Caenorhabditis elegans: one gene and its partner. The protein of the gene in region 1 purifies or fractionates together with the protein of each later gene. This does not show direct contact. Each region holds a gene or a part of one and is shown on either strand. Other genes may lie near its edges.

Region 1 (4,922 bases):
TTTTCGCCTTACTTGCTCGAACTGCTCTTGGTTGTTGGATTGAGTAGTGACAACTTGATTCATGTTTCTTATTATTTCAACCATTTCTTCTTGCCATATTTGCACATCTTCCACAATTTTGAGCAAAGAGGTAAGTTCAACTTTCTGGCTCAACTGATCAAGCCGTGTTTTGACGTAATCAGTTTTATCAATTAAAACGTTGATTCTACTGATTTGTTCTTCATTTTGGTTTTCTTCTTTCAATGTCTCTAATGTTGATTTATGCATATCAGCAGCACTTTTGAATGAAGCAATCCTCTTCTGAATCTCCTCAACTTCCTGAAGCAATAAATAATCTACCAAATTACAGTGAAAAATTATTCAATACCTCTTTCTTTGTGACCGTTGAGTTATCGACCTTTCCAATAAACTCTAAAACATCTGTCTGCCACATTTGAATCTCTTCGATTACAGTTTCAACTTTGGTTTGTACATTCTAAATTTTTAAATTACTTTTGCAAATCCTACATTTTATCGATTTACCTTATCTCTCTGCCACTCAGTCCATTTGTGTTGAACGTATTTGAATCTGTTCTCATGGTCGGTAATCATATTGCGAACTGCTTCTTGAGCTCTTTGGATATTCAACCACTCGTCTGATTTTCCGATTTGAGTTGCATTTGATATGAACTTTTCAGCTGAAAGATTACGTTTTAAAAATACCAACCAAATTATGGTAACAAACCTTGATGTTTCTCTTGACTCAAAGTTTCTAAAATCATCTGGAACACGTTGGAAATTTGTGCCGCCACTTTCTCATTTGTATATTCTTGATTGTTCTCCAAAAGTGTTTGAAGAGCATCAAATGAACCTTCAAGGTCTTTTCCAAACTTGTGAACTTGCTCGTAAGTGGAGCCAATTTGAATTCGGTTCTCCGAAATGTCTTTTATTTTTTCATACTTCTTCATAAAATCGGTCAGTTGTTGTTCTTCATCTGGAGACATTTGTGGCTTCTTGGCGAGAAGACTCATAACGTCAGCGTCTCGGTTGACGATTTCAGTTGCAAATTGTTTATGAGAGACAACGAAATCACGAGCATCATTCAAATTTCCACCCATATCACCTTTCTGTGCTAAGAATGCAGAAGCTTGTCCATCCAGCCATGATTGGATGTTTGAGAACTGGAAATTATAACCTTTGAAGTTATTATAAATTAATGGTAACGTACATGAGAAGTCGTCTTTCCAGACTCTTTCCTTTGCTTTGCAAGAGCTTCTATCTCACGCAACTTTTCTGACAAATCTTCAACGTATTGCTTGACAAGTCGTTGTTCTTCGTAGCTCAGAACTTCTTTTGCTGCAAGAATAATTTTTACCGATTCTTTTTATTGATAATTGACCTGTTAATTATTTTTAGAAAACTTACAAGCGATATCCTTTCCTTCGTGGATAAGAGGAGATGCTTTCTGCTTTGCCAAAGGTGCTAGCTCTCCAGCCATAGCCGCATTTGCGCATTTCATGTCTTCAACCATCATATTCAACTGAGATACCATCGATTTTGCGGCTTGAAGGAAAGCGTGAATTCGATGTGATCGATTCATTCGGGTTTTCAGATAATGAAGGAATTCCTCAATTCTACCGGAAAGATGAGAAATACGTCCCCCGTCTGATGATGGACTCTGCGCTAGGTGACGAAGACGGGATACATGCTTCTGAAATGTGTAATTGCTTTTTCAGGTACATAAAATTGAACCCACATTTCCTTCAGTAAGAACATTTTTCTGTCCAGCATCGTTGAGAGCTTTGACTTTCTTTTCCGCATAAGTTAGCCATTGTTCAATAACAACGAGTTCATCTTCTGTTGTAGTTGTAGCATTTTGTTGTGTTGCTCCCGACTTTCGCTGCTGCCAAAGTCCTTCGGATCGTTCCCAATCAGCAGCAACTCTTCAATTTTACTTTTTAAATAAAATGTTATAATTTTAGATCTTTAAAAAAAGTTGCAGAACTATATTCCTAGGTTTTAAAAAGTTGCTTACCTCAACATAACACTTTCAATTTTTACTGATGCATCTAAAATCTCTTGTGGTCTCTCTGGATTGTCATCAAGTTGTCCCAATGTACGAATTTGTGAAATGACGGAAGATCCCAAATCTACTACAGAAGCAGTTGTGTCAATGATGTCTGAAATTTCAGATTTATTTTTTCTTATTATAAAATCAAAGCTTACCATTAATAAGCTTATCGATGGATGATTGAAGTTGTTGAGAGTTTTGCTCGTTGATTTGTTGCACAATTTCAATAGTTTTAGCATTGGATAACTGCAGTTAATAAAATCACAATAAAAAACGGTTTCAAAAATCAACTAACCTTTTCATGACTTTCAGCCAATGTATAAAACTGTACAGTCTCTCTGAGCATATATCCTCTGAGGAGAAGTTGTCTGTTCAACGATCTCCACGTCTGAAGATGCGACATTTTTAAGGTCGTACTGAAGACTAAAAACATGAAAACGCATTCCGTCTGGATTCCTACACTACGCAGATTAATGGGCTGATTTATGTGCAGCTGGGTAAGAATACTAAAAAAACCGAAATGCATACAAACCTCCCGCAAACTCTTCGCCATTTCGTCGTAAACAATCGCTTCGTTCGGATTCGTCTTTTCTGCTCCGAGGCTGTCGGCACGACTCAAGAGAGCTACTACCTGGTCATCTTTGTCCTGAACAGTAGAAATATATTATAATACAACTTTTGACAGAAACTCACTTGAAGCCTTCTGATGAGATCATCATGGATGTTGAGCAAATCTCTAGCTTCTTGTGATGAATTTCCTATCGAAAGTAGCTTCGGCTGCATTTCATCAACACGAAGTTGGATATAACCAGCACTCTAAAGAATTTAGGTTTAAAAAATTAATAAAAATAGTTTCAACCTTTAAAAGTGCAACTACAATTGATGCATTGACACCAGCTTTTACAGCAATTGTTGATAGTGTTGTTGTTGATTTATCACCCTCTTCACTATGTCCTCTTTGCGCTACAGCGCTGAGGTTGGCGTCATTCGGCGCCCCTCCTGGCGCCATTTTATGATGGTATTGTGATCTTTCTGAAATATTGGAAAATTTATTGGTTACTGAAAAAAAATTAACATGATTTGAGCGAGATTGTTAAATTTGGAGAAATATGCAAGATCCAGTGTCAACAGGTAATATAATCTCAGAGTTTAGCACCCCGGGGCAATATTACTAACAAAAATACGGTAATCTGACATTTTAAAAGATTTCAAAAACTGAAAACCGGAGAAAGAAAGGATGATGGATCAAGCAAGAACGCTGAAAACTGGGATGGCTTTCCAAACAATTGGCAATTGTTGATGGCAAAATTTGGAAGAGAAGGGAGCAGGGTGAAAAACAAAAAACCGCTTGTTCTGACTTATCAAAATATGTTTAAAATTTAGACATACGTTTTCTTTTAGTCGGACTTCAAAATAGGTGTCTCTTTGTAAAACTTGGAGTATAGTTAATTTAGTTTACATACAATACTCCAAGAAAAATAATATCCAAGCATAAAAATAAGTAAGTACAAAAAATTAGTATAAAAAGTGCCGCCCACTCCTAAGGTTGTCCAACTTTCTGTGGTGCTCTCCTACTATTACACACGTTCTGACTGGGGATCCTCTCTCATCTTCCTCTTGCTTCGGAAGGAAGAGTGTAAAACATTGAGCCAAAGCACATCAAGAAGTGGGATGAAGCAGGAAAGGAGAGATAGAGAGAACAACAACACAAAAATGCGGGCGGAGAGGCGAAGGAAGAGGTGATGGATAGAGAACAAAATGGAGCAGGAGCATCAGATCATTGTGGGAACAGAAGAAAGCCGAGAAAAAGTGATCAGTTAATTGAATCTCGTGTATATTGATAAAAAATTGATAAAAATGATTGAAAGGGGAAGGATTAAAATTTATTAAAAACTTGTTTTTCTCAGATCAAAATCAGAAGTTTCAGGAAATCAACTAGCGTTAAACTTGTAAAAACGCACTGTTGAATGAATGAGTATCTAAAAACCAATTACAATGAATGATAATTTCCTACTTGAAATTTGAAAAAAGTTTTTATTCAACTGTGTGAACGGAACGCCAGGTAATTTTTATTGAAGAATTAGCAATGGTAACTAATGAAAATTCAAAATTATCACTCAAAAAAATTTGAATTCTCTTTGTTTGAAACAACCATTCAAAATTATCCGTCTGGTATCGAAAAAAAGAGTCGAAGAAAAATTAAGAACAGATGTACTCTAGACACATTGAAGGCGCCAATTGTTGGTGATGGCGGTGTTGGTGAGTATGGTGTGTGTGGTCGTGGGACCCGTCCGTCGGTTGTTTCTTATCCGCCCATTACAACGTATGGGAACACATCTCGACGGAGTTAGCCAAGAGATCAGCTTCTTCAGATTTTTGTCCAGTGCCACGTTTTCGGATGCTGCTTCTGCAGGCATTTCCAATCGGGAAGATTTATTGCAACAACACACATACAAAAGGATATTCAAGTTATTTTTCGAATATTTGTGTGAAATTTTCGAAGTATTCGGGTAGCAATCAGAGTTTTTCTAAATTTTCACGTTTTGTTTTCACACTACAAGTTTTATGCTTTCCGCAAAAACATATGTAGGCTATTAACATAAAACGGAAACAACAAAAATCTAGAAAACATAATAAACACAAAATTTTCCACATGGTTTGTATCTAAGTTATCATAGGAAATTAATTTTTAATTTTTGTCAAATATGATTTGCATTTGTGTTCTGAAAGTTTAAAAAACTCTAAAAGAATTGCTAAATATTTTTGGAATAAAGTGATTTTTCTTGTATATGGAACATTTTATTGAAACAATTGAGGCAAGAATATTAAAATGGAACAATATGAGCATCAACATTATTACTTCTTTCTTCCA
Region 2 (5,860 bases), on another chromosome or scaffold:
TTTAACTTTTTCGCAAATTATAATTCATATAAGAAGGAAAGAAAATTGGTGGAAATGAGACCGCCCATGAAGAAAAATCATTTTCTTGTCGAAAAATTAACAATTTCATATTTTAGAGTTGGAATTTTAATTTCAAAATTATTTTAATAAATAATTAATCAATATTTACACAAATGTAAAAAATAACACGAAAAATTTAAAAATCCGCTGATTGGCCTAAACTTCGGTGGCCCAAGACCACACACGAAGATAACTAATTTTCTCATTTTCCAGATGAAAAATTAAGAATTTTATATATTAAAATTGAAATTTCAATTTTAAAACTAATTTAATTTGAAAAAAAAATCAAATTATTCTCAAAAAATGCGAAAAAAATCGATGATTGGCCTAAAATATCGGTGGTCCAAGACCACCCACGAAGAAAAGTGACTACAGTAACCTGTACGTCAACACCATCACGTCAAAATGCACAGACCGCGAAATTTGAAAATAGTTTATCTGAATTTGCGAATATATTAATAAAATGACCATTTAAATTAAGTTTTATATAAGAAAAAGCGATAAATTATTTAAAAATTTTAGAAAAAAGTTTTTTTAACCTCCAATTTCTGAAAAAAATATCGAATTTAATAAAAATAAAACATTTATTGACGAGATCAAGAAGAAAAAAAGTTATTTTTAAAAAGCAGCCGATGGATCAAAAATTCCGTTGAATCGATTCGAAATTCTATTATTATATATGGCAGCCTGTGGTACTGGATCATATGCCACGTCGCGTTCCGTAAATACTCCTGTACACTCATTCGGGCACACGTCCTGTAAGAAAATCATGTCAAATAATGTTAAAATCACGTGGTGCCAGGCTGCCCTAACACGGTTTGATCTACAAAAAATGCGGGAATTTTTCGCCCAAATATATGTGACGTCAGCACGTTCTTAACCATGCGAAATCAGTTGAGAACTCTGCGTCTCTGTTCCCGCATTTTTCGTAGATCTAAGTAGATCAAGCCGAAATGAGACACTCTGACACCACGTGTGAAATGAAAATTTTAATACCGTCAATTGAATTTCCGGGCTGCCGAGGTTCGACACAGATGGTCCATTTAATGGCTGGGCGTTGAAGAACTGAAAACTTGCGCGTAAAGTATGGTGCATTGAGAGGGGCGGAGTTAATACATCGGATTTCACACGCAAGTTTTTTTGGCGGGAAAATCGAATTTTTCAGAGTTTCCGTTACGGATTTCTGGCTTCCCTCATAAATTGAAATGGAAGAGTTTGCCGAACTAGGCCATTTTGGCTCGGCCATATCTGGGGTAGATTTACGGCGCGTTGCGTGTCGCGTCGCGGCTCGGTTTTAGTTGTAAAACTAAATGTATTTGTCCGTGTGGAGTACACGGCTTTCCCACGCGTTGTCCGGCAGGATTGTCAATGGAGGGCGAAAAATTCAATGAGGAAGGCCAGAACCCCGTGTTTCCGAAATTTTTTAAAAATCAAAATCGTCATTTTTGTGGGTTTTTTTTCTATTTTTCTCCACGTGGATTACACAGAACACTTGTCAGTAGAGCACTCTTGCATTTCTGGTATACCCGAGAGTTCCTGGATAGCAAAGCCATAGGTTTATTTTTATTTTTCCAAGCAAAAACAGAATCCCAAATTATTATAAAAATGGAGTGAGCAAAAGAGAGAAAGAAGTTAGTTAAAGATCTTGCGGGTACACTTGTTGGCACAAATTTCCACAGTGTGTGGAGCAGCATTGTGATATCCAATTGATCCGTCTTCGATGGATCCTTCGGTGACGAACTGTAACAGGGTGTTATGAGGAGGTAGGTGGACAGGTTACGGTAGAAGTGGGGGGGGGGGGGGGGAAGTGATATTTTTTGTCAACTTACATTCCATGTTGTGCATGTGGAGAGGGAGCCAACTGGGCGAGCAAATCGAGCCACGAGGGTGTTGCCTGAAACATAATTTGATAATAAATTTGCGCGTGAAATATGGTGTTTTGGAGTGAAGAGACAGCTATGACCTGATACATCAGAATTTACGCGCAAATTCAAATATTGAAGTTTTGCGCGTGAAATTTGATGCATTGTAGCCGGTGTTTGTACATTTTGGCGATAACGATTCAATACATCAGATTCTACGCGCAAATTTAAATTGGCGGATGAAATTAAAAAAAAATTGCGCGTTAAATTTGATGTATTGCCGCCGACAGTTTTAAATTAAAGGTATTACTGGAACACTAAATTTCGAAAATGCGTATTGCGTAACATATTTGACGCGCAAAATATCTCGTAGCGAAAACTACAGTAATTGTTTATCCGACTACTGTAGCGCTTTTGTCGATTTACGGGAACTCGATTTTTGAATGGATCGATCGATAGAATTTTAAAATTAAGCATAAAAATGACAAAAAAAAATCGAGATCCTGTAAATCGACAAAAGCGCTACAGTAGTCAGATAAACAATTACTGTAGTTTTCGCTGCGAGATATTTTGCGCGTCAAATAAGTTGCACAGTACGCATTCTCGACAGTAAGTGTCCCCGTAATAATCTTGGTCAGAACAAGACAAGGCATGGCCTAGAAAAAGACACCTTGGCCTAGTTTTTGATTTTCTAGGCCACGGCGTACTAAACTCACTGTTATAATCGAGAGATTGAAGAGTGACAGATGGAGAAGCATCGAGTGCAGGTGCTCCGTATCCCTGAGTCGTTCCAGTCACAAGGCTTGGCTTAAAGTCTACCACTTGGAAAATGACAACGATTAGATCGCTCTGCAAATTGGAGTTTGTAGTTTTTGTAGTTTGTAGGGGAAAGTAATATTACATACCATATCAGGTCCAAATCCAACTGCTGACCATTCATTGTTTCCAACGTTTTTTGTGGTAACTTCGACAGTTAATTCTCCATCCACAACCTGAAAACATTATATCTTACGCGCAATTTTTTTTTCAAGGAATCACTGCACAAGACACAGGGCCTGCAAACTATTTAGTATTGATATCAGAAACCAGATTTGTTCAGAGAAAAAAAAACCCTAATATTTTTGCGCAGTTTTCACTTTGGCCTGATAAAATCTGATAAAATGACCTTGAGTGTGGCCGAGAAAAAAAAAAGACTCGGCCACCGTATTTTTTGGGGGGTAGGGTAAAGCTGCCTACTTCATGCCTACCTACCAGTTATTTTCTGCCATTTTAAGGAAAAAAAAATTTTTGGCTTAAAATTTCCAGTCGAAATTTTTTTCTAAGTTTTAGTTTTTTCTGAAATTTCACAATTTCAACATTTCAAAAAATGTTTCTTGTAGCCTTTCAGATTTTTTGCAGAAAAAATCAAAAATTACCTCCAAAGTGTTAGGATGGTCATTGTTTTAGGCGAAAAAATTGACTGAAAAGTTTTGAAATTTTTCAAAAAAAAGTATTTTTTAAAATTTTTTCAGATAAAATGAAAATTGTTTCAATGTCATTGAAACATCACAATAACGATATTATTCTCAAAAAGCACATTTTAAGGTATATTTTATTTTTAATTAATTCTTTTAAAAAAACATTTTCAGTTTTTCTAACGTTTCCCTAAAGTTTCATGCCTTTTTCTTTTTTCTAGTTTTTCAATAAATATATTAAGGGAACACTAAAATTCTTAGAATGCGTATTGCACAACATATTTGACGCGCAAAATATCAAAACTACAGTAATTCTTTAAATGACTACTGTAGGTCGATTTACAGGCTCGATTTTCGAAATGATTTTTTTTTTTCGAAAAGTTACATCATTTCAATAATTTACATTTTTCAATAAATTAAAAAATTGAGCCCGTAAATCGACACAAGCGCTACAGTAGCCACTTAAAGGATTACTGTAGTTTTGATATTTTTCGCGTGAAATATGTTGCGCAGTACGCATTCTCAGAATTTTGTGTACCCATAATAGTTGTTCAAAACGATTGGCACCAAGAATCAGTTTAAACAAACCACTTGAGTTGTGCTCAAACAAAATGACTCACCTGCCACCGAGCACTAATATCTCCACTTTTAGCTGTGCATTTAGCTGATTGTGCTCCAAGAATAGCTAGAGAAACACAAAGTGTACCCAACAAGAAGCCGAACATTCTCTGAAATTGGGGAAATATGTTTAAGAAATGAGGAGAGGTGATGGGTTTTGGACTGGTTGGCAGGGATTGTTGGCAAATAATGGAAGGAAAAGTAAGAAAACAAATAGAAGAAGATTGAAGAGAGAGAGAAAAAAGGAAAAAGAAAGAAAATATTGTAAATGAGGAAGCAATTGAAGACATAAGTCGTCTATTAATGACGAATGATAAACCAGATTCGACCCCAAACGACCCGAGTTTTTGTTTCGAGAATTATAGTGTTAGAATATGAGAGAAAGAGAGAAAGAGAGAGTGAATTGTAATATAGATGAAGAGATGAAGACGTTTATCAAGAAACTGAAGGAAAAAAGTTGACTTGGGATTATTATAGTAGTCCCGAAAAAAACTAACAACGAAAAACCGGGAAAAATTGATGGAGAAAAATTGGCAAATTTCCGGAATTAAAATTTGTTTTATTTTTATTTTTGGCAAACTGTCGATTTGCCGAAAAACGGCAAATCGGAAAATTGCCGGAAAAGCGGCAAATTTCCGGATTCGAAAATTCCGGCCAATCGGTGAATCAACATTTTCGGCAAATTCACAGCAAATCGGAAAATTGCCGGAATTGAAATTTCCGGTAAATCGTCGTTTCCGGAATTTCCTGCAAATTGGGAATTTGACAAATTTCTGGCAAATCGCCGGAATTGAAATTTTTGGCAAATCGGCAATTCGGCAAGTTGCCGGAATTGAAATTTCCGGTAAATTGTCGTTTCCCAAATTTCTGGCAAATCAGCAAATTGCCAGAATTGAAAATTCCGGCAAATCGGCAAATCGCCGGAATTACAATTTCCGGTAAATCGGCATTTCCGGCAAATTGGCAAATCGGCATTTCTGGCAAATTTCCGGCAAATCGGCATTTCCGGCAAATTGGCAAATTGCCAGAATCGAAATTTCCGGCAAATCGGCAATTCCGCAAATTGCTGGAACTGATTTTTTTTATTTTTGACAAACTGCTGATTTGCCGAATTTGCCGAAAAAACAGCAAATCGGAATAATTCGAAAAAAATGTTTTAAAAATTAACAGAACATTTTACAATTTTCTAATTCTAAAAAGGAATTTTGAAAAGGAAAAAAATTTTTTTTTTCTCGGAATATATTGGAAAATCGAAAAAATTTAGGTTTTCTATTTTAAATTCGAGCGCAAACCAAGGCTGCGCCGACCAATCAGCACATTTTGTCATTCGCTGATTGGTCAGCGCTTTCCTCATTTGCGCGCGCACGTGGTGCCAGAGTGTCTCATTTCGGTTTGATCTACATAGATCTACAAAATATGTGGGAGAAGAGACGCAGAGTTCTCAACTGATTTCGCATGGTTAAGAATGTGCTAACGTCACTTTTTTCCGGGCAAAAAATTCCCGCATTTTTTGTAGATCAAGCCTTTATGGGACAGCCTGGCACCACGTGTACTAAATGAAATTTTTTGAGAAATAAACCGCTTAAAATAACCAGGAAAACGACCTACTTCTCCATTTTTCTCTGGCTTACAGAGATCACGACCAAAATTCGTTTAGAAAGAATAAAGAACAGTTTTGGGGATGAACAGGTCGCCGTAGCAGTGATCTTATCATATTGTGGGTGAAAAAAAATGATTAAGTGACGTTTCAGGGTCATTGGCAGAAGGAAGAATTGGAAAAAAATAGGTTGATCAAAAGATGACGCTGACTTTGGCGAAGTTCCTTTAGTCATTTTTTGCCGATTTGCCGGATATTTTATTTCGGGC

Evidence for each region.
Region 2: the proteins of F21C10.7 (region 1) and Y54E10A.17 fractionate together in Caenorhabditis elegans (co-fractionation; one large-scale study listed by BioGRID). This does not show direct contact.

Annotation. Positions count from the first base shown.
Region 1 is NC_003283.11:9,110,927-9,115,848, reverse strand, and holds the start of F21C10.7 (Ig-like domain-containing protein), read right to left. Parts: upstream 3,083-4,922; 5' UTR 3,060-3,082; coding exon 2,910-3,059; intron 2,867-2,909; coding exon 2,744-2,866; intron 2,697-2,743; coding exon 2,583-2,696; intron 2,439-2,582; coding exon 2,346-2,438; intron 2,297-2,345; coding exon 2,206-2,296; intron 2,160-2,205; coding exon 2,015-2,159; intron 1,923-2,014; coding exon 1,736-1,922; intron 1,691-1,735; coding exon 1,405-1,690; intron 1,336-1,404; coding exon 1,208-1,335; intron 1,161-1,207; coding exon 725-1,160; intron 678-724; coding exon 523-677; intron 476-522; coding exon 368-475; intron 319-367; coding exon 1-318. Other genes in the region: pqn-31 (Prion-like-(Q/N-rich)-domain-bearing protein), read right to left, coding at 4,907-4,922.
Region 2 is NC_003279.8:3,205,045-3,210,904, reverse strand, and holds Y54E10A.17 (DOMON domain-containing protein), read right to left. Parts: upstream 4,144-5,860; 5' UTR 4,102-4,143; coding exon 3,997-4,101; intron 2,915-3,996; coding exon 2,828-2,914; intron 2,772-2,827; coding exon 2,639-2,771; intron 1,955-2,638; coding exon 1,890-1,954; intron 1,801-1,889; coding exon of another isoform or gene 1,693-1,800; exon of another isoform or gene 1,126-1,692; coding exon 1,057-1,125; intron 817-1,056; coding exon 679-816; 3' UTR 633-678; downstream 1-632.